Drosophila melanogaster: one gene and its partners. The gene in region 3 interacts genetically with the main gene of each other region. Each region holds a gene or a part of one and is shown on either strand. Other genes may lie near its edges.

Region 1 (7,346 bases), about 22 Mb from region 3:
GAGTAACTGAAACAGAGATCCGCGATTCGTGGCTGCACCGAAAGCAACAGATCCCAAAAAAAACAAAAAAAAATGCAAAATAAGGCAAACCCGAAAATGAATATATGCAGCGTGTGTTGTATGTACATATATACTCGTTTGTGCCATTATCAGACGAGTGGAAGAACACGGCTGCGTTTACCTGCCCTTCAGACTGGTCTTTATGGCAGCAACTAGGTGTTTCTATCTCATAATGTTTTCATAACTTGAATGATCGCATTTTCACATTAGAGCCATTTTCTCAATGAGGTTTACTTCCATAAGTAAGTACTTCAAATCGCTTGAAGAAGTCTGCAGAAATTGAGAATGCAGCCTTTGTTGGTCCACCCTAATCTACCTGATATGTTTACCTGACGACGAGCCAGCCCATTTGCAAGTCATGTGAATCGCTATAACTTCAGAAATAATTCCACAAATCGTCTTTAGGTTTTGTCGGTCTTTTTATTTCTATTTTATTCCATTTCATTTTTAAATTTTGGTGTTTTTCTGCCCTTATAAGTGCATTTATTTGCTATCAATCGGTTTGGTTTTGTATAGATTAAAATTTTGAATATTCTGAGAATTTAGTGTGGAAACTGGCGAGAGTTGCTTTACCTGATCAGCTTTTGTTGAATCGTTTTGGGTTTTTTGATTTAAGGTTGTGGGTAGGTAGATATAGGTATACATAATACATAATTACATATTAAATAATTGCTTTGCTTTTGTCATTTCTTATAAATGGTATTTGAAAATAGCGCAATGTTGCGTTTAGTAAAAATATATTTTGGTTTCTACTGCAGCTTACAGAGTACACAATAAGTATATTTATCTCATTTCACATTTGCTTTTGCTCAATATAAAACTCGCTTCAACGCCATTATTGTTTAGCTTTAAATGTACATGCATACATATATGTATGTAGATCTCTATATATAAAGGTTTGCATTTCTTAATTCTCTCTCAAGGCATTGTATTTAGTTTGTATGCTGAATATATATTCACTTTGTTTTGTTTTATAGTATATTTACGCTTTACGATTCGTTTAAATGTACAATTTTAAAACCGGCTTAGTTCCTTTCATTAGACGCTCCTGTTTGCTTTCTACTTTGTTTCATCCTCGCATCTTTTGTATTCGTTTTATAATAAATATCACAACGCATCCTGCAAATCTACACGCCCTATTATCATCATTATCCTTATCATTCTCATCATGCATCGTCGGTCGTTCGCGTTCGCGTTCGCGTTCTTATATTTTTTGAAAATATACAACGCGCAATGAAGAGGTTTGAAAATTGCACAAATTACAAGTACATAACATATGTACATAGCTCCTCGGCGTATGTAAAAGACATAGCGAAATCATAAATTAACCATAATAAAGATAATAATACAAAAACATTAGAGTTAACGAAACAACACATTCGTCACGTTTACGCATATTACAGCATATTACAAAAATGAAAACATCTCCTACAACTAGAAAAGTGCTTCGCGGTTTCCTTCCGTTGTTTGCCTGCCAACTATATAAAACTTAACTTAATCCTGACTCGGCCCCCATCCCCGTCCCAGATCCGGTCCGGTTATAAGCTGACCAGCTTGGACGGCTCGGCGGTGGGCGTGGGCAGCTCCAGCGGGTGCTTGTTCGTGGAGGAGCTGTTCGGTACGAGGGGTCCGGAGACGGGCGTTAGCCCAGTGCCGCCGTCCATCAGGGAGTCGAAGTTGAAGGTGCCGGTCGAGGGCGTCTGGATGGGCACGCCCTGGATCTGCGTGGGCCCACCCGCCTTGTTGTTGGCCATGGTGAGGTGCATCTGGCCCAGAGGACGCTGGAAAGCCAGCGTATTGGGCCGCTCCTTAGGCACCTTGTTATGCGCATTCAGCGTGGGAGAGTTCATGTTGTTGCCGATGCTGTTGATGTTGTTGATGCTGCTGCCGTTGGAGGTCACCGGGAAGGCGCTGCCGAATCCGCCGGGCGCCGTGCTCGTGATCGGCGTCTGCAGAGATCCCGACGAGGCGCCGGTGGGCGTTAATATCGTGGACAAGTGAACGTGCGGCATCGTGGACATGGGCGGCAAGGTGATGCGCTTGCTGGGCGGCGGACCGTCCTGGTCCAGGCTGGATCCTGAGTCGATGGCGCCATCGAGTGGCTCGTCCTTGATGTGCATCAGCAGGCTATCGATGTTCGCCGCCGGCTTGAGATCCAAGGGTGAATTGCTCCTCCCGGTGGAGTTCAGCGTGGCGTCCATGCCCGTAATCGTGCCGTTGCTGCTGTCGTTGCTGTTGTGGTTGTGATGGCTGCTCGCGCCGCTGCCGCTGCTCCCTGCACTCAGGAGTCCGGCCGGGGCAATCAGACCGTTGCAGGTGACCACGCTCAGCATGTCGGAGCGAATCTTTTGGCAGGTGGCCCGGTGGGTGGCCAGAAGGTACTCCAGCTGATTCTTGCTATTCGTCAGCACCTCGATCTCCTTGCGCATGCTCTCGCCCCGCTTCTCCAGCTGCTCCACCTCCTCGGTGAGCTCGTTGGTCTGGTCCACGCGCCTCTTGCGGCAACGGGCCGCCGCCTGTTTGTTCCGCTCCCGGCGCACGGCCCGCTTCTGCTCCTCCTCCGGGGTCATGTTCGTCGACCGGTTGGGGCGTCTGCCACCGCCACGACGAGCCGGCGTATTTGAGGTATTCGCGTTGCTGCTGCCCACCGACGCCGATCCGCGGCTAGAGCTCACGGCGGCCAGGACATTGGAGAAGTTGTTGACACCGCCGCCGTTCACGCTGCCCGCCATGATGTGGCCAGCTTGGTACGAGGTGCTGTCCGTATGGGCACTTGCTGCAGGCGTATGAAATAAAAGGGAGTTAGTAGACATTCGGAGCAATTCGTGCCAGCTTCACTTACAAGTATCGGTCGTGTCCTGCTCCTCGTTCATCTGCGTATCGTTGTACGAAGCGTTGGAGTCCTCGGACTCGCTGCCCTGCCCCAGGCTCAAATCGAATGTCTGCTGAAGTGGGAGCGACGAAACACCGGTGGGAATACCCATGCCCAGGACATCAATGGCATTGGGTAGCACCTTTGGCACTGCAAATCCCGCGCAACCAGCCACACGATCGGTCTGCGTGTCCGAGAGCAAGTGGCCCAGTGTGTCCTCGATGTTGCGCGTGGTGGTCGGCGTCAACGTGGGCGTCGTCAGTGTGAGAACACTCTGGCCGGTCTCAAAGTTGCCGAGCTGCAAGAGCAGAAAAGGTGCATGATTAGTAAAGACATCTATGAGTGCAAGTATCTGAGAAGATGGATTACTATTAACGCTCATTAAAGCTCATGACAAGCACGAAACCCTCTACAATGCCATATCAGTATACATATATCACGCATACGCAGTGTTGCCCGCGAATAGCTTAAGGATGTTTGGGAATTTATTCTTATCACATGAGTAATTTGGGTCGAGTTCAGATATCAGTCAACATCAAAAGCTATTGCTAAGTCTGTAAGACCTCTTGCTTATCCGTACATTTCTAGCGAATTAGCGAACGTGTTTTTGGCCAAACAAAAAACGAAAAAAAAAGAGGCGAAGAGAGATGAAGAAACCGAAAGAGAGGCGGCCAATCCATCACTTTGTTTATATTTGCCCACCCCTTTGTTGTTCCGCATTTGTTCTATTTTCGGCGATGATTAAGTACGCATGCCGCTTGCCAATTGTTTCGCGCCCAAATCTATCCCAATCTCGACCAGAATCGGAGGCATCATCATCGATCGATCTGTGGTACCTGCTGTAGGAAAAGCTCGTTGGCGAGGAAAGTGGCTATCTCACTGGCGTCCATTGCAAAGTTGTCGCTGTGGTTGTTGTCGCTGCCAGCGGCAGCAGATGTTGCAGTTGTGCTCGTTGTTGCAGCTGCAGTGGTGTTGCATGTTGCAGCTGCAGTGGTGTTGCATGTTGTGGCCGTCAAGGCGAGTTGCGCCTGCCCAGGGGTTTCGGGATTCCAGCCGGAGGCGGAGGACTGGGACTCGGAAGGGTAATGTTGCTGCTGCTGCTGCTGGTAGTAATTAATGGGCATGCAATTGTTGTTGAACTCCAGTTGCTGCTGCTGCTGCTGTTGCTGGTTGAAAAAATTCTGCATTTGGCAGACGGCGGCCATGGCAGCCGCATTGTTGCTGTTGTGACTGCCGCTGCTGGCAGCGTAGGCGCTGCTAGCAACATGGCCATAATTGTTGCTGCTGCTGCGCAGTGGAAAAGCATTGTGGGCAACCGATTGCGATTGCTGGTAGGCTGGCTGCGTGGGCAGTTGCCGTTGCTGATGACGCAACTGTTGCTGCGGCGCTTGCTGTTGCTGCTGCTGCTGCTGCATATGTTGCTGCTGTTGCTGCAGATGATGCTGCTGCTGCTGCTGCTGCTGCTGAGCAAAATGCAGCGATTGGTGGTAGTAGGGATGGTAGCACGCATTGTGCGTCCTACCGTTGAGATTTTTCATCATTTGTTCGCTGCTTATCGATCTAAACCTAAATATTAAGTATACGCACTCGCGTTGCGTATACGCACAGTTGGGCGGCTGACTAGTATTCGTTGGGGTTCTTAGCCTAGCTAAGCTAACACAACAATTGGGACAACAATGATATATGCGAATTGTATTCAAAATCAACAAAAACAATTCAACAATCTAAGAATCTAGTTACTAGCTAAACTAGAGTATATGTACAAATTGGGACTCTGTTCCCAAAGTTTCCTAACAATGTGCTGATGATCCTTTCTTGTCTTTATAATTCCGTTCGTTTGGATGCTCCTATGCTGTTTGTTGTCGCAGTGTTGTTCTAGTTGCTTAGAAATTCGTTCGTTTTTGGCTTTGTTTCATAGCTTCTTTTTTTTGTGTGTATTGTGTATTTCGTTTGCTTTCTGCGTTGGCTCTTTCCTAATAAAGAAAAAGGGTTCGTTTGATTTGACTTCTTGCTAGCTGCGAGCCGTGAGCAGATTTCGTATATGTTCGTTGTTCGATTGCTCAGTTCTTGAAGTTTTGGCTCTCCGGCGGTCTCAGCCGCTTAACGATAAGCGTTTGCTGATTTCGCAAAGGATTGAAACGCACATTCCGCTCGGCGAAAGCGCTCATAATCGACGCAGTTTATCGTAAGTGTGCGAGGCCCAAAATCCAGCGACACGTGTCCAGTTTAAGTCGCTCCACTGTGTGAGCCGCAAATTCGATTATTATATAATTATAGAGATTTACACGGACATGGAGCCTTGAGCTAGTTCAATTAATGCTGCATTTGTTGTATTCAGAAATTCCTCGGCCATGGGCAACGCCTCTCAACACAGCGAGTGTTATGCCTCCCTTTGCGCTTTTATTTCTGGGTTTGGCTATATTTACATATATATATATATATATATGTATATTCGTATGGCATATATATTTCGATCCACGCGCTTGCAGCCGAGAAATGTGCGTTGTTTTGCGTCTATATGTATATATGTACATATAGCCGACTGATTCGTTTTTTTTGCTCCTGATTCGTTTTGGCAATGCACGCGCACCGAAAACCCAACGACAATTGCAGTTTTCCAAATTTATTTTCGTTTCGTTGTTTGAGTTTCGCGTTTCGATTCGATGCGATGCGATTCGAGGAAAAGCGCGCGCGCGATCGCTTTTAATTGTTAGATATTTTCTAAACTTCGATGGTTCGTTGTTCGTTTGCGACTGAATCGCATCAGAATCTCCGGCGAGCGAAATTGGCAACGATCGCGATCGAGAGATCGCCGCAGATGTATGCATATATATGTATATATATACATATCATATATATATTTATATATCTTGAGAACTACTAGAGAACCCGAACCCGCATCCGAATCCGGAGAGCTGTCTGCTGTCTGCTGGGCGTGTGTTGTGCGAGCTGGCTGCTCAAATTAGAAGACAGCCGCTGGGAAATCAAATGATCCTAAACGCTGGCTGCTCTTAATTGAGCGGCTGCCCACACGACGACCACGCTCGCTTTTGCCGCATTCAAAGCGAAATATGTACATTTAGTTAGCTATAGTAGAATGTGGTGGTGGCTTATGTACATATGTATATGCTTCTGCTTCCGATTTGCCGAACTTGCCAGAGGCTCATTCTTCGCTTCCACGGAAAAGCCTTTCAGTTGCCCATAAATCAGGCCCAATGTTTTGGCCAAAAGCGATGATTCCGAGTAAACATAAGCTACATACATATATACACATGTCCGATTCGACAGATGTCCCACGAACAGGTGTGTGCGTGTGGCACATCCACATTAACTATGTTTTCAGTTCAGTTCAGTTCAGTTCAGACCCCCTGTCTCGCCAAGAGCGTTTATTTCCGTCGCCAGCAAGTTGGCCAATACGCTAATTGCTGGCTTTTGTTGTGGGCTAAGAGCAACACACACACACACACATACCAGTTGCACTGGGGCTACATTTTTGAAGTAGTATGCCTTCTTTTCTCTCCGTGCAGCGAGTTCGAGCGGCTTGTGTGCTTATTTATTTGACGATCTTATCGCAGCCGTGTTTCCCAATCCCAAAGGCCGTTCCCTTATTGACAGCAAACAATCGATTTTATTCTTTGTGATATATTTACTTTTTAATTTCGTATGCGAAATTTACTTTCAACTCGGCCGCCTTGGCTGTTTGGCCACCTTTGTTTGGCTGGCTACTTTCGTTTTAACCCACTTTTTTGCCATTTGAACTTGTCCCTCGCGAACATGAACCGCATTTAGCCGATGATGAATCAGTCAATTTGGAAAATGTACGTATGCAAAACAAGTGATGATATAGAATGCTGGCAATCAAGCGCGGCGAATTGAATTGTCTAAATTGCTTGCCAGCCAGCTCGGATGGCGATCTCGATTCTCCTATCGGAACGTTGGACAGAGTCATATCTCCGGACACCGAGTTCACATCTGGGGGTCAATTATGAACCAAATGAAACGAGCAGCGAACATCGAACAGCCAGCAGTGGAGAGTAAAAAAAAAAAAGAAAAAGTAAAACACTGACGTAGCGAAAAGCAACAAATTGCTGACTAATACACGCGACTGCTGCAAATTTGATTTGCGGGCGGTTCAAGCCAAACCAAAGTGGCCCCTAAATAAATGTATGGTGACTGCAACTTACAAAAATATTTCAAAACCTAAAAATTGCCACTTCCCAAAGGAATTCCCTGAAAACTCAAACTTATCAATTGCCTGTAAATCCGCGCTATCATTTTGATTAGACCATCAACTTTGACCTTGGCTCTAATTAGTTCAAAAACACATTCACATGTTTTTAAACGCTGGGCAGAGGAGGAAGGTGAAGATGCAACAAGTTGAGTGGCTAAGAAATTCTCGGGCCCGAGACTTTGC
Region 2 (4,531 bases), on a different chromosome or scaffold from region 3:
GTGGGACTGCTTTTCACGGACAAATCCAAGGAGGAAGTCCTGGAGTGGGCAGAAAACTACTGGGCCGTGGAATACGCACGCAGTGGCTTTGTGGCCACGGAAACGGTTACCCTGCCAGCAGGTCCCCTAGAGGACTTCGCCCACTCTATGGAACCGCATCTGCGTTCCCTGGGCCTGCCCACCAAATTGGAGAAGGGAATCGTTACGCTGTACAGTGACTACACGGTTTGTGAGGAGGGCAAAGTTCTAACACCCGAACAGGCGAGAATCCTCAAGCTGGTGGGCAAGCCCATGGCCAAATTTCGGCTGACCATGAAGTGCTCGTGGACAAAAAGCGAAGGCTTCCAGCTGCATGTCGAGGATGATGTGAACGACGAGGAACAGGCTGATAGCGCAATGGAAGAGGAGGCCGAGGCCGAGGCCATGGATGACAACGACGACGATGATGACGAAGAGGAGGATGATGAATAAATAAGTTTAAGGCGTAGAAATAATTTTTTTATGTATATATCAAGTGCAGAAAATATACGTATATTTTAAAAGTACATTACATATTATCTTACGTTCAACACAGATAATACTTGATTAACACTAGCTTATACTAATAACTAAGTAAACAAAACACTTAAGAAGCATTTCAGATATTGCAGCTAAAACCAAAGAAAGGCACAAAGCCTCAGGTTGCGTCGTCCGCGAGGATGTAGAGCACCAGAGGCTGTTCGTTATCGCTCTCCTCCTCCAGGAGTTCGCTGTTAGTTAGGGAAATATCCTGAGAGGCCGAGCCCTCCAGCTCCAAGGCACCGGTGCTAGCACTTGAAAAGAATTCCAGAGGCATGGGTTGCTCGGGATCTTCAGGATTCGAGGGGGTTTCAGTCTCCAGTGCCACGTCCTCCTCATCATTCTCCCCGGCTGACAACTCCAAATGTTATTGGTCTGTCGAGTTCGGCGGCACCGTGCAGCCCGCGGCAATGTGCTCCATCACCTGCTGCTTCAGCTGCGCCACATGGTCCTTGAGGTTCTTCACGATGCTAGCCAGGTCGACGTTCTCGCCCTTAAGTACCTTCACGCGATCCTCCAGCTTTGAGATGCGCTCCAACTTGCGCTTGCGGCACTTGGATGCAGCCACACGGTTACGCTGCCTCTTGCGCTCCAGCTTGATCTTCTCCTGCGCTTCCATGTCAATGGGATTAACGGTGGGCGAGCTGGCTTGATTGACGGGCTCGTCCTTAATCACCGAGAAGCCCTCGGTCATGTTGGTGTAGGTGAAGGTGCCTCCGCTGATGCCATTGTTCACCGCTGTCATGGCTGCCGCAGTTGTGTTATTGGCGGCGGAATTAGCGGCGGAATTGGCGGACGGAAATGCCTGGGAGTTAGTGTGAAGATTGTGTAAGGCCTCCTCGAATCCCCTGCCGAAGTCCAACTGCTCCACGGTGACGGGCCCCGCCTTGGTGGGGAACACCTTTCCCGGCTGCGGTGTTTGCATCAGATTGTTGGATAGCAGGATCTTCTCCAAATCGGGTGTGTTTACCGTCTTGGATGACAGATCCGGTGAGTTGATGACCAGTGGTGCGAAGATGCGCTTGTTCTTGGCACTCTTGCTGTTCAGATCCAGCGAGCCGGGACGCTTGTTAGGATTCGGGGTGGATGTGTTCAGGTTCGGCGACTGAAAGTCCAGTGACATGGGGCCTTCTTCTCCAACGGGCTCGGTTTTAGGTATGATCTGAATGGCAGTTGCTCCGGAACTGCCAGCATTCTGAATACTTAAGTTCGCAGCAGCGGAAACGGGGGTTTTCATGTTTGCTCAAGCAATGACGTCAATCTGATTCGGATGAAGTGAAAGAGACGAAAACGGAATGAAAACAATCTGATAAAAACTCGTTTCGCGATGAGTCATGCGAATAACTCGCTCTTCTTCTTACTCACCAGTGGGTGGGAACTTTGCTTGCAAAATTTGATTAGCACAATCTGTACTTTTGTGTTTTCTGCTTTCTGCACTGCCACTGCTTAATCACCGGTTTTATCGGCCAACGAATCGTTTGATTTTTATTTTGGTTTCGCTAAATAATTTTACGAAAATATTTATTACGCGCAAGGTTGTTTTCAGAATGAGTGCTAGCGGTGGTACAAGTGTCGATTATTTATTCGATATTGCTATCGATACTGGTCTTTAAATGCGATGTTTAAACAATGGGCAGCATTGACTCAAGCAAGAAGCTTAGCAGTGACACAAACCATTACCGGTAGCTAAGTTAATAAAATACAATATAGGTTTTTTTTAACATTTACTAAATCATTATGAAAGGTGAATGGAAACAAGGCCGTCGCTAGTCTTTCATGTTTTTCTTGAAATTTTCTTGATGTTTGGCAGTAAAAGAAGATGCAATAGATCTCTTTATCACTCCTGGGCGTCGGTAAATAGGAAAGGAAATATATTTTTCGGTCTGGTTAAGATATTGTTTTCGCACTTGGGGAACCACAAACTGTCCAGACGGATCCATTATGTCAGGAACTCCAGGAAAACACTGATGCTCATGATTTTGTGATTTTGCGAGTTACAATTGAAAAGGGGAAACAAAATATGACACTTAACTCGGAACATTCGCAAATAATTTGAAAACATCCGAGAAAAAAGGCCATACGTTTTTGGGATATTCCCGATATATTTATATTCGACATTTATGATAACTGTATAGCAATAAATATTTTCAAATATGGGTTTTTGTTCTGTTTTGTTTTGTTTTTCAAACTGTAGCATATACATCAAGTTTAAATATATATATTTGTTCGTTTATGTAAATACATTAATAATATTTTGATTTCGCAACCAAACGTCTTGCTGTTGTTCAGATTGGTATATATGCTGGCCCTAAAAGATTTACACATTTATTAAACTCCTTGTATATATTAATAATCACATCTATAGATTTGTTAGAGCTTCAAATATTTGTCTTAGTTATGTCCATTTATTGTAAGCACGTTGAAACACATTAATGTATATGTTCATCTGTAGACAAGTAATGCGGAGAGAGAAGTCTCAGATACTATAGTTAGTTGCTCTGCATTTGGCGTTCGCAAAGATACATAGTTTTTTTCCCGGTGTAGGCTAAAATCGTTATATATGTATAATGTGTATAGTGTATTATGGTATGGCACACGCACGTATGTATGTGCACACATCCAAGTCAAACCGAATAGAAGAATTCTGACGGTGACTTTGGAGGACTAGCTGCCAATGTGAGCTCTGCCTTTCATTTTGCTTAGAATGTCAAGCGAGTTGAGTTACTTAAAAAGCTGGCTGTGGATTAAATACTTGTATGTCTTGGTTAAGCATATGTATGTGTGTTATGTTTCGTCTATGATCACGTTTGTACACTTAAACACCCATAAAACGTGCAAATATGTTTCGAAAAATTCCATTTTACGCTGAACACTTAAACCAAATAAATCGGGCCGCATCGGGCGTCTACTGCGATTAACTGAATCCAAATTGTATGTATATCTATATGCATCTCTTTAGGTATCTGGTAAACTCTAGTTGGCTGCTGCCGCCTCGCGAGGCGGTCAGGAAAATCCATCAAAATATTATGTCATTGTATGCGACGACTATTTGGTTTTGAATCAATCGTTTGTTTGATTTTTGCCAGTTCAGCAAGGTTTTTATATTGGTTTTTTGGGCTCATATTGTTATCTTCTCTCTCTCTCTCTCTCTGCTTTGCATTGCGGGGTTGTCATTTTCATTTTCGATTTATGATTTTCTTTTTAAACGCACACAAAAGAGACGTTAGGAAAACACTGGGCGGCAATTCGGAGCAGTTCGCTTAAAGCCCAATCTCCCGCATGGCCCTGTACAAGCAGGGATTCTTCAAGCACTCCCTAGGACCCAGCTGCCGGCCGTGTGATCCCCGCAGGATCATCAGGATGGAACGGGCCGCCGACTGGCAGTCGTTGCTGTCGCCGCAAACGCTATCCGCCTCCGCCAAGTACTGATAGTCGCAGGCTACCTGTGAGGCACCCTGGAAACGGAAATGCAATGGGTAAACTATAGTTAACCATACTCGACTCAGGCATCCTGTTTTCACTTACACATAGATAGCATATCTGGTGAACACCGCAGAGGGGCAGGAGCTCCTGGTTAATGTCTCCGGAGATGAGATCGACGCCCCGACAGCGCTCCGCCATGGACTCGATAATGGGGCACTGGTTGGAGCCCACAATGTAGTTCTTGTTGCCCAGATAGGCGTCGTTTAGGGTCTCGTAGGGAGCGCTGCCCAGGCTGAGTGCCTCCTCCATGGTATTTGGCTGCTCCGGATAGCGCAAGTAACCACTGCGCTTCCTCTTTTCCATGTCCTTGGGTGGTCTCGAGTCTCTGGAGGATTTGAGAAATAAACACATCGAAATAATGTAAATTTAAGGGCATTTTCATTTACTCTGCCAGTTGATCTGCCTGCTCCTTCTTCACCGACTTTTTGTTCAACCAGTAATTGGAGTCCAACGCGTTCTCCTCGGATTCCGGTTCGATGGTATTGCGCAT
Region 3 (4,755 bases):
CCAGCTCCTCAAGGAATCTGTCGAAGGAGTCTTGCCGTAGGGTACACAGCTTGTCCTTGAGTTCCTTGATGGCTCTGTTGAGTGCTGCCTTGTCCCTTGGGTTGCGCGAGAAGAACCAGATTCTCCTGAGGCGCCTTTTTTCCGCTACGAAGGCCGCAATTTCTGGAGACCAGAGGTGAAGGTCTCTACCGGGAGTTCTTGGGGACGTTGAAGGAGGAGGATTGGCAAACTCAGCAGCATTGTACATCTCATCCGTGAGAGTTTTGATTGCCGCATCGATGTTGCTTGGAGTGGAGAGTGGAGGATCCGGGTGCAGGGAGGACAGCATCCAGAGTGTGAACTTGGAGGCATCAGTGTGCTTCCCGGTGAGTCTTCTGGGCAACTCTTTTTTGAGGACGGGGATGTTGAGAAGCATTTTTATAGCGCTGTGGTCGGATATCAGCTTGTTATAGTTGGAGCAAGTTAGTCTGTCTTGCCCTATGCCTTTGGAGATAGCAAAATCCAGGAGGTCGGGCAGCAAGGAAGGGTTTGAAGGCCAGTGGGTAGGCTCACCAGAGGAGTGGCAATCCAGTCTTCTGCTCTGCAGGAATCTGTGGAGCGTTCTGCCTTTGGGGTTGATGGAGCGGGACCCCCACCAGGAGTGTTTGGCGTTGAAGTCACCAGCTGCTATAAAGCGAGGTCCAAAGGACTCAAAAAAATCTTGTAGGTGAGTCTCGGTGATCGAGTGTCTAGGTGGGAAGTAGACCGCTCCAACGGTGATGTCTCCATGTAGGCTGGAGATTCTGGCCAGGGCACACTGGGCCCATTCCTCCTGAAACGCAGGTAGCTCCGTGTACTGGATGCCACTCCTGATGAGCATGGCTGCTCCTCCGCGCGCTCTGCCAGATGGATGGTTGGCAGGGATGACATCGTAGCCGCTAATGCTAAAATGGGATCTGGGACAAAAGTGGGTTTCTGATACCAGTAGTACATCGATGGCATCTGTTTTTAGGAGGTGTTCCACCTCGGCTCTGCTCCTCTGCAGGCCGTTAGCATTCCAAATAACTATTTTTAGGCTTTGCATACTTTTGCGTTGAGGATGGAAGCAACAAGCTGCGTCATTTGCGAGAACATCTTCTCCATCATCCTTTCGACCATTCCTTCGAAGCGAGCAAACATTTGTTCCATGTTACTGGGTTGCGGAGATTCAGGTGGGGTTTGACGGGTTTGGTTGGGATTGGTTTGCTGAGGCACTTGGGTAGACATGAGCGCATCTCTGTAGTGACAAATAAAATGTTTTGACAACGAAGAATTTAAAGAGGTTTATAACGAGCATTGCTATATTCATAAAAATTATAATGAATAAATGGAATTCATCAATATAAACTAACAAAAGGTTTGAGCCCGAGATAAAAGAAAATTAGTATATATACAGCATGTCAAAAGCAATTATACAAAGTCAAATGTCAGCATGTTTCGAAAATAATTAACCTTTAACGTGTAATAAATAAAAAATAAATAAATAAAAATTGTATTATGATCATAGGTCAAAGTATGTAATAGCTTATTTTAACTTCATTTGTCAACAATTGTGGCTATTATATATACTTTAATTTCAAATTCAACCGCAAAGTCTTCAGTGTTGGTGAATTTGGTGAGCGTAGAGTAAAGTTTCAGCTTGTTAGCCTTTTTTAACTGTAGTAGCCTCTGGTCACACTAATCGCGTCTTTATCAAATTCGGTTATCAAATTTGTTTTGCGCCCGTTCATTCGTCTTGCGCTCATTCATTCGGTCATTCATTCGCCTTTTGAATACCGCTTCGAACGGTTGTGTCTACATCTTTGCACAACGAGTTCGAAAAATAACTAAGCTCCGCGCGAAAACAGTAGGAAATTAAAACTAGAATATTTCTGGTAAAAACATTTATCATTGGATACAATAATTTTAACACGAATCGTGAGAAGAGGAAGCAAACAATTAATACTAAAATAAAATATAAAAACGAGATCTACAACCCGCGCGTTTTTCGATTAATGAATTAAAAATAAGTGTGCGTGCTACAAGTGGAAATAAAACTCGATTTCTGGGCCCCCGACTTTTGGTTGCAACACACTTTATAACGGGAAGTGGCTCAACAAGTGGCTCGGGGATTATCTAATAAAGCCCTCCTACCGAAAATCATACTTAAATAATATAGATTATTATACGGGCAGAAAGCAACAAATAAAATATACATATATCAATTTTAAAACAACCAAAGGCCCCCATGTGTATGTGTGTAGTGTGAGCGCGTGCATATGTGTGTGAATCGAGAAACGCAGAGCAGCAGCAACAATAATAGCAACAACACTACAACGGCAACGTCAACAGCACGCAACAACAACAGCCACAACGGACGCTGTGAGTGCGACGGAGACGGCGACAGCGTGAGTCATATACAAAGTGAAATGAAAATGCGGATAAAGCGAGAAGCGCCGTGTCTTCTGTTATTTATGCCAATCCAAAATACCAACAACAACAATCGCATTGGTGGTAAGTACAAAAAGAAGCGAAAAAAAGAATCAAATCAACAGAAATAAGCAATAAGAAAAATCGTACAATTTAAGATTACACTCAAACCAATCAAAAGAGCGGGACAGGGAGAACGTATTAATCCCTCTCTCTTGCTCTCTTGATTTTTACCGCTCGGCATGCTGTTTACTTTTGCTGGGGCGCGAAAGAGAGGGGGAGCACACGTAAGCGTCTCCATTTCATTTCTACAAAAGCAAAAACAAGCAAAAAGAAACGAACTCGAGAGAGATCAGACTCAGAGTCAGTTACTTTTTTTCGCTCCATACGTGACTCACAATTCGCGTGTCTTTCAAAAATAAAAGCAAAAGAAGCGTTTCGATTCGTTTCTGTTGGCTGGATAAATGAAAAAAAAAATCAGTCAGTCCAACAAAATACGAGTACAAATAAAAAAAATAAAACAACAGAAAAAATGTAAAGCAAAGCAGGTTTCTCAAGCGGCCTGGCAACGCTGAAAAACCCGCTTTGAAACGACCTTTCGAGTACGAATTCATCGGCACAACAACAACAGAAGAAGGGAGAAGCGTGCGAAGGAGGAGGCCAAAAGGGGAGCAGAAGGAGAAAAAGCAACAGCCGCGGCAACAACTCAAAACTGAAGTTGGGAGTCGGTAAGAAAGAGCGGAAGAGCAGGAAGGGTTAGTTGCAAGGGCCAGGGGCGAAACTAAAAAGGGGTGCCCTCGTTGAGTCAAAGTTCCAAAACATTTACAGAATAGTTGAAATTTATTAAATATAATATAAGTTGAAGCATTACAATCGCTTTATAAATCACTTAAAATTAATATCATCTTAAAGTGAAAGATTTACTACCTTGTTGCCAAGTTTTTTTTAGACAATAAACAGCGAATTACTAATAACAGTAAACATAATGGCGAATCGCAACCCAAAAGTTGGACAAAATAGTGAACAGAAAGCTGATGCATAGCTCATTTCCAAAAGTAAACAAGCCACTGTATACTAATTAGCACTTTCCTATTTTCTACTCTACTTCACACCACTCCCCCCGTTTCCCACACCATAGGCCCCCTTCGAAACCCACACACTCCAGACCCAGACGCCCCTGGAGGTTTGCAATGCACTATTGGCATGCGATTTTACTTGTTTTACTAGCCGCAAACAACAACAACAGCGACAAAAAAAAAACATAACCAACGTTTCCTGCCGCGGTGAAAAGTTGGTTGTACTTTTTTTGAGGCTGTTGCTTTTTTCTGTGTTGTTTTTTGGCTTTTGAGGTCGCTTGGCTGATAACAGCAATTTTGTACCCCAGTAGTTTGCTCGAAGTTGTTTTGCTTTTCAGCATAAAAGAGACTATACTTTCTGGCAAGGCTGATAAAGTCGATTTGATCAAGTCAGCACAGTCCGAACTCCTAAGACCACTTTGAAAACATAATACAAACTGTAGCATTGGTTATCTTATCAAGTTTTTTCTTTTGACGGACGGCTGAAATGATACCCTTCAATCAAGGAACATGGCTTAAAATTAAAGTTTAGTGTAGGGGGAAAATCGTACTTGAAGTTTTTAAAAACAAATATTTACTACAAGATTAATTTTAATAATATTCGAAGAAATCAGAATGATGCTAAGAACATAAATATACCAGCATTAAAAACCCAAGATTGCCGTACTAAAAAAGTTTTCAACTATTTGTTATTGACAGCTTTTGTTCAGACTTACCTATAAATGAATAATCTGGATTGTGTTTTACTATAATATACTATCAAATTGGTATCGGGCTAGCTTACAAAGCGTTCTCTAATTATGCCTGCTCACTGTGATAAGCGACTTGTGAGCTGCGAGCGAATGTGGAAAACTTTGGCTTTGCATTCGCTCGTAATCAGGCGAAAAAGAAGAAAAAAAAACTCTAGAGCCGAAATAAATGTCTTACGTCAGTTTTGGCAGGCGGCAATCGAAACGAAATATTTTTGCGGTTTTTTTGAACGGGGAACCTGGCGCGACAAGTTTTTCGCACTGCGGTCCATACACGGTCCGTGCTGACATCATGGGTTATAAAATTAAGCAAATCGCTAACCGCCAATTAAAATCAGTTTTTAAATCACCGCATTAATGCGTATTTTCTGGTCTTCGTCTCCTTCCCTCGGCAGCCAATCAGAAGGACTATCCCAACAAGCGGTCCAGGGAGAATCTGGCATGTGACGAAGTGACATCGACGACGTCATCATCAACGGCAATGAACGGCGGCGGACGGACGC
Region 4 (4,637 bases), on a different chromosome or scaffold from region 3:
GCACTGTTCTTCACATCGTTGCTTTAAATGAGAATAAATGAAATAAACGTGTCAACCAAGAACACACAGATAATAATACGACCGGTCAGAGCTTAACCGTGTATCTGTTTTATAAAACGTGAACAATATTATTAGCCCAAAACGATATGCGCGTCATTTTAACACACACAAAGTCGCGATCGGTGGGTCTAGTGTGCCCGTGTATCTCTATCGAAAAAATCATATATTTTTTAGAAGGTATATTTTCCATGACTGACTGGAATGGGTGGAGAACATCGCTTTGGGAGTGAAACTCCGCTATAAATTGTCATTTGTTTTTATAGCAACCTTTTTGATATGGTCGCCAACTTTTATATAATTATAATAATAATTTTTGTAATTAATCACCGCTGTCGCACGAAAAATTTAGGAAATGTGCCAACGAGCGGAATTTTTCGGAACGATCGATGTTTTACCATAACCTGCTATATAAATTGTGAACCACATTTTCAACACAAAACTAGATGTGCTTCATTTATAACGCAATGTCGTGATTTTGTGGGCAGTGTGACCATGTCCAATCTGCGTTCAAGTAAAACCATATTTAGTGACACAAACTTTCCATTACAAAATACCAAACAACTTTAAATTTGTTGTTGCATCAAACTTTTTCTTTCTATACATATAATATTGCGGGTGTATTTGGATTTCTAACGCAGTTACAGGCGAATAAACTCATTTTCTTTTGACTTTAAAATCTTATCAATTTTACGCCGTCTATGACATACTTATTTTGTACCTGAAATAAGGGTGTTTGTGAAACCAAGCCACTTACCCAACCCATTAGGTACATAAACGCAATCTTATCAGCTCCCCCCTCTTTCTGGAGCTGGATGGCGATTACCTCTGACCTACTTTTATTTGTTGAATAACATGTTTATACTAACATAGGATAAAAAAAATTTCATATACGTATATTTATTAAACTATTATGGTAATAGGGAAACATCTATGGTATATTTAATTCGAAAATATTTAAAAGGAATGGACAACATTACGAGCACAACGATATAATAGAATTTTTAAAGTAGCCAATACACAAAAATATGCTGTGGAAAAAGACACTCACAAAATCAACCAAGCTTCAGGTACCTCCTCATATTTGGCACCGCATAGAAGGAGTGCACAAAAGAAACGAGCAAAAAAGCACCGTAACCTTTTTTATGCGGTGCTTTGTGGCGCGAGTCTACAAAATACTGTGTGTGTATGCGGTTTACTTGTAGTTGCGGTGGAAAAAATTTACCTAAATGTTAATGCCCAAAAGTATGCACATAGGAGAAGACATAACAAAAGATTCAAAAGGAGGTATTTATTTATTCCTCATAAATTATAAGCTTTCTTCTAACTTCCATAAAAATGTATTTACCACCCAAGATCAAAATAAATGACCCCACAAAATATACCAATCGGCTACAAATACTTAAAAAAAAAAAAATAGAACGGAAAGAGAAAATTGTTTGTTTTACCTTACGATGTAGCGTTGTCTGTCAGCACTGGGCTGCTGCCCTTTTCCTCTGATAAACTTTAACATGATTGGTTATGCTCTTGTGGTGGTTTGGTTTTGATGAATAAATAAGTATATTAATTGTGGCCGAATTTATTCTAAACTGAAAATAATAATAAAAATTAATCAAATTTTCAATAAGTAAAAAATTAAAAAGGAACTTGTATATTTTTTCACTCTTATGAATAAAACCGAGAATTTAAATTTAGGTAATACTATTAATACCTTTTATAGATACGGACGATACGTTTAATATTATTCTGGTATACTTTAATCAAAATTTGTTTAACAAAAAGGGTTTTACATTCTTGAAGTCATAGGAAAATCAGTGGACAGATAGATCTTGGCTCCCAAGATTTTCCAAACTAGTTGTGCTTATTTTCTTAAAACTTCAAAGATTTGCATGTAGGCAGTTTAATAAACATGTTTGTACATATGTATATGTACATTAGGAAAAATGAAATGATGAGCGATCTGTACTCTTTGCAATGTGTATGTATGTACATATGTACCTCCCTTTAATGAACTAGCAATTCCGTCACGCACACGAAATATTTTTTTATTTGTAAATCTTTTTTAAAGTTTGTTTAAACAATTTAGTTACTATTAAAGCTCTAAAATTCATAAATAAATAATAATAAATGTATTAATTAGGACAAAAAACAACTTAAAACATATACGTTTATTTTTGTAAAAGCGTTTTAGGCAAACGCTAGCTGGTCGGTACTAATATTTTTTCTAAGACTGTATACCGTATACATACATTTATGTACGTAGGTATGTATCCGTGAGTAAGCTGAGGTGCAAAACCGTATCACCATTTGCTTTTCGGCTGATAACCAATACCAAGTAAGTCAACTGTTTCCCAAATGTATCTGCATAACAAGGTGATGACCTAATTTTGAGTACATACCGATCTTTACAGTTGACCAGCTTTGCGATTGCATACCGGTATCTGTTTATTCACATATACACACACAAATTGCGTGTTAGACAGACAGCAAAATGACGACTGTTAACTGTTGGCGTGGCTGACTCACCGACTACGCCTCTATGCTAAGAACATACATATTTGTGGACACTTTATTTAAGAAGTTTGAAATATAAATCAATTGCCTAATCAGTAATACTGTTGTTGAGCCCTTTACCTTTATGTATTTCCGTTTGTACGGTTAAGGCGGTGGCCGAGTAATTTTTTGAACTATTTTATTTGCTCACCATCACGCATAAGTTTGTATGTATTCTTATGTTGAGAAACGCCCGCACTGTTCTTCACATCGTTGCTTTAAATGAGAATAAATGAAATAAACGTGTCAACCAAGAACACACAGATAATAATACGACCGGTCAGAGCTTAACCGTGTATCTGTTTTATAAAACGTGAACAATATTATTAGCCCAAAACGATATGCGCGTCATTTTAACACACACAAAGTCGCGATCGGTGGGTCTAGTGTGCCCGTGTATCTCTATCGAAAAAATCATATATTTTTTAGAAGGTATATTTACCATGACTGACTGGAATGGGTGGAGAACATCGCTTTGGGAGTGAAACTCCGCTATAAATTGCCATTTGTTTTTATAGCAACCTTTTTGATATGGTCGCCAACTTTTATATAATTATAATAATTTTTGTATATATAATCATAATAATATCATATAATAATCACCGCTGTCGCACGAAAAATTTAGAAAATGTGCCAACGAGCGGAATTTTTCGGAACGATCGATGTTTTACCATAACCTGCTATATAAATTGTGAACCACTTTCTTAACACAAAACTAGATGTGCTTCATTTATAACGCAATGTTGTGATTTGTGGGCAGTGTGACCATGTCCAATCCGCTTTCAAGTAAAACCATATATTGCCACAAACTTTCCCATACAAAATACCAAACAACTGTAAAATTTGTTGTTGCATCAAACTTTTTATTTCAATACATATAATTTCATGTGCACTAAAGTGATTATTTTGTATTTGCATTTAAAAATTTCTGTGATTAATTGTCAATACGGAATGTATGTGAGGAAGGATTGCCGTCGTTATCCATCTGGTCCATAAATTCGTCTAAACGCTGCAGAGATTCAAGAGCTTCCCGAGATTCTTCGTCTTCAATATTATTTAATTTTGCAGAACTGTTTGGAAACTCAGTGTGGACGATGTCTAGCTGACCATGATCTGTTTCAGGTGCCCCGTAGCTTCCGTATATTTCCCGAAGCGTTGCGCGGGTAAGATTTAACTCGCGCATTCCAAAACTCATTTTTTGAGCAACCTCAGCAGCCTCGCGTCTATTGGCCTTTCGCTTATCATGGGAAAGTTGCTCGGCATTAGTGCGAAGCATTGACCCACTTGACGCCGACGACCAAGAGGAGGCGGCCGACTTGCGGGAGCGCTTGATTATTTGGCGGCACTTGTTGGTAATCCCACCGACGATCTCGGATACCAGGGCTGTGGCTCCTAGAAAGTAGCCCAGTGCCATGAGCAGGAACATTCCTTCTGTGTCCGCTGTAGTCAATTGGCGCTCTTCCTGAATTATTTCGCGTAAGGAATTCGAAGAACTTGCCTGGAGCAGGCGTCCTGAAGATGATCGCTGCATGACCCAGCTTACCTCGTTATTGATTTTTGCAATAAGACCACTTTGCTGGGCAAGTAATATCATCGAGTCGATTTTGATTTTATACACTGACTCTCGGGGAAACAGAAATCCTATTTGGAAAAGAGCAAAACACTCTTCACTCAAATGAAGCGCCGATCGGCGGGAAATATTTCTAAAAGAGGATATCGTTTACGGTGGGAAGATTAAAAATAAAGGATCGATCTTACTCATCTGAAAAATTTGACTGCACCAGGTATTCGAGCTGAGCCTTTGAGCCAAGAAAGGCATAGTTCCAAAAGAAGCTCTGGGTAACGTTGCCAATGCCCTCATCTACGGACCCGACAAACTCCATTTTCTTGTACAATCTAGACGTCGGTATATGGGTCGAGTTCTGGAACCAGGTCTCCCAGCCACCATTGTCTTTAAGTAAGAAGCCCAAATATTATATACAAATGTAGCGAGCCTAACCTTTTCTTACTCAGGGTTCCAACGCGAA

The links.
Region 1: of puc (region 3) and kay, changing one suppresses a phenotype caused by changing the other (phenotypic suppression), as found in Drosophila melanogaster (3 studies listed by BioGRID).
Region 2: of puc (region 3) and Jra, changing one suppresses a phenotype caused by changing the other (phenotypic suppression), as found in Drosophila melanogaster (2 studies listed by BioGRID).
Region 4: of puc (region 3) and l(2)gl, changing one suppresses a phenotype caused by changing the other (phenotypic suppression), as found in Drosophila melanogaster (2 studies listed by BioGRID).

Annotation. Positions count from the first base shown.
Region 1 is NT_033777.3:29,787,277-29,794,622, reverse strand, and holds kay (kayak), read right to left. Parts: upstream 5,688-7,346; 5' UTR 4,471-5,687; coding exon 3,769-4,470; intron 3,231-3,768; coding exon 2,903-3,230; intron 2,837-2,902; coding exon 1,599-2,836; 3' UTR 510-1,598; downstream 1-509. UniProt on the Drosophila melanogaster protein: Developmentally regulated transcription factor AP-1 binds and recognizes the enhancer DNA sequence: 5'-TGA[CG]TCA-3'. May play a role in the function or determination of a particular subset of cells in the developing embryo.
Region 2 is NT_033778.4:10,094,531-10,099,061, reverse strand, and holds Jra (Jun-related antigen), read right to left. Parts: upstream 2,583-4,531; 5' UTR 2,466-2,582; intron 2,135-2,465; exon of another isoform or gene 2,058-2,134; 5' UTR 1,924-2,057; intron 1,820-1,923; 5' UTR 1,796-1,819; coding exon 926-1,795; coding exon of another isoform or gene 677-925; 3' UTR 506-676; downstream 1-505. Other genes in the region: RpLP0-like (ribosomal protein LP0-like), read left to right, coding at 1-471; CG2269 (uncharacterized protein), read right to left, coding at 3,819-4,013, 4,084-4,366, 4,428-4,531.
Region 3 is NT_033777.3:8,103,585-8,108,339, forward strand, and holds the start of puc (puckered), read left to right. Parts: upstream 1-1,747; 5' UTR 1,748-2,276; coding exon 2,277-2,511; intron 2,512-2,903; exon of another isoform or gene 2,904-3,155; intron 3,156-4,647; coding exon 4,648-4,755.
Region 4 is NT_033779.5:18,375-23,011, forward strand, and holds the start of l(2)gl (lethal (2) giant larvae), read right to left. Parts: upstream 3,003-4,637; 5' UTR 2,692-3,002; intron 2,600-2,691; 5' UTR 2,457-2,599; intron 1,647-2,456; exon of another isoform or gene 1,642-1,646; 5' UTR 1,571-1,641; coding exon of another isoform or gene 1,511-1,570; 5' UTR 1,506-1,510; intron 197-1,505; exon of another isoform or gene 1-196. Other genes in the region: Ir21a (ionotropic receptor 21a), read right to left, coding at 3,545-4,313, 4,369-4,561, 4,620-4,637. UniProt on the Drosophila melanogaster protein: Essential for the development of polarized epithelia, for cell polarity associated with asymmetric cell division of neuroblasts during development, and for oocyte polarity formation.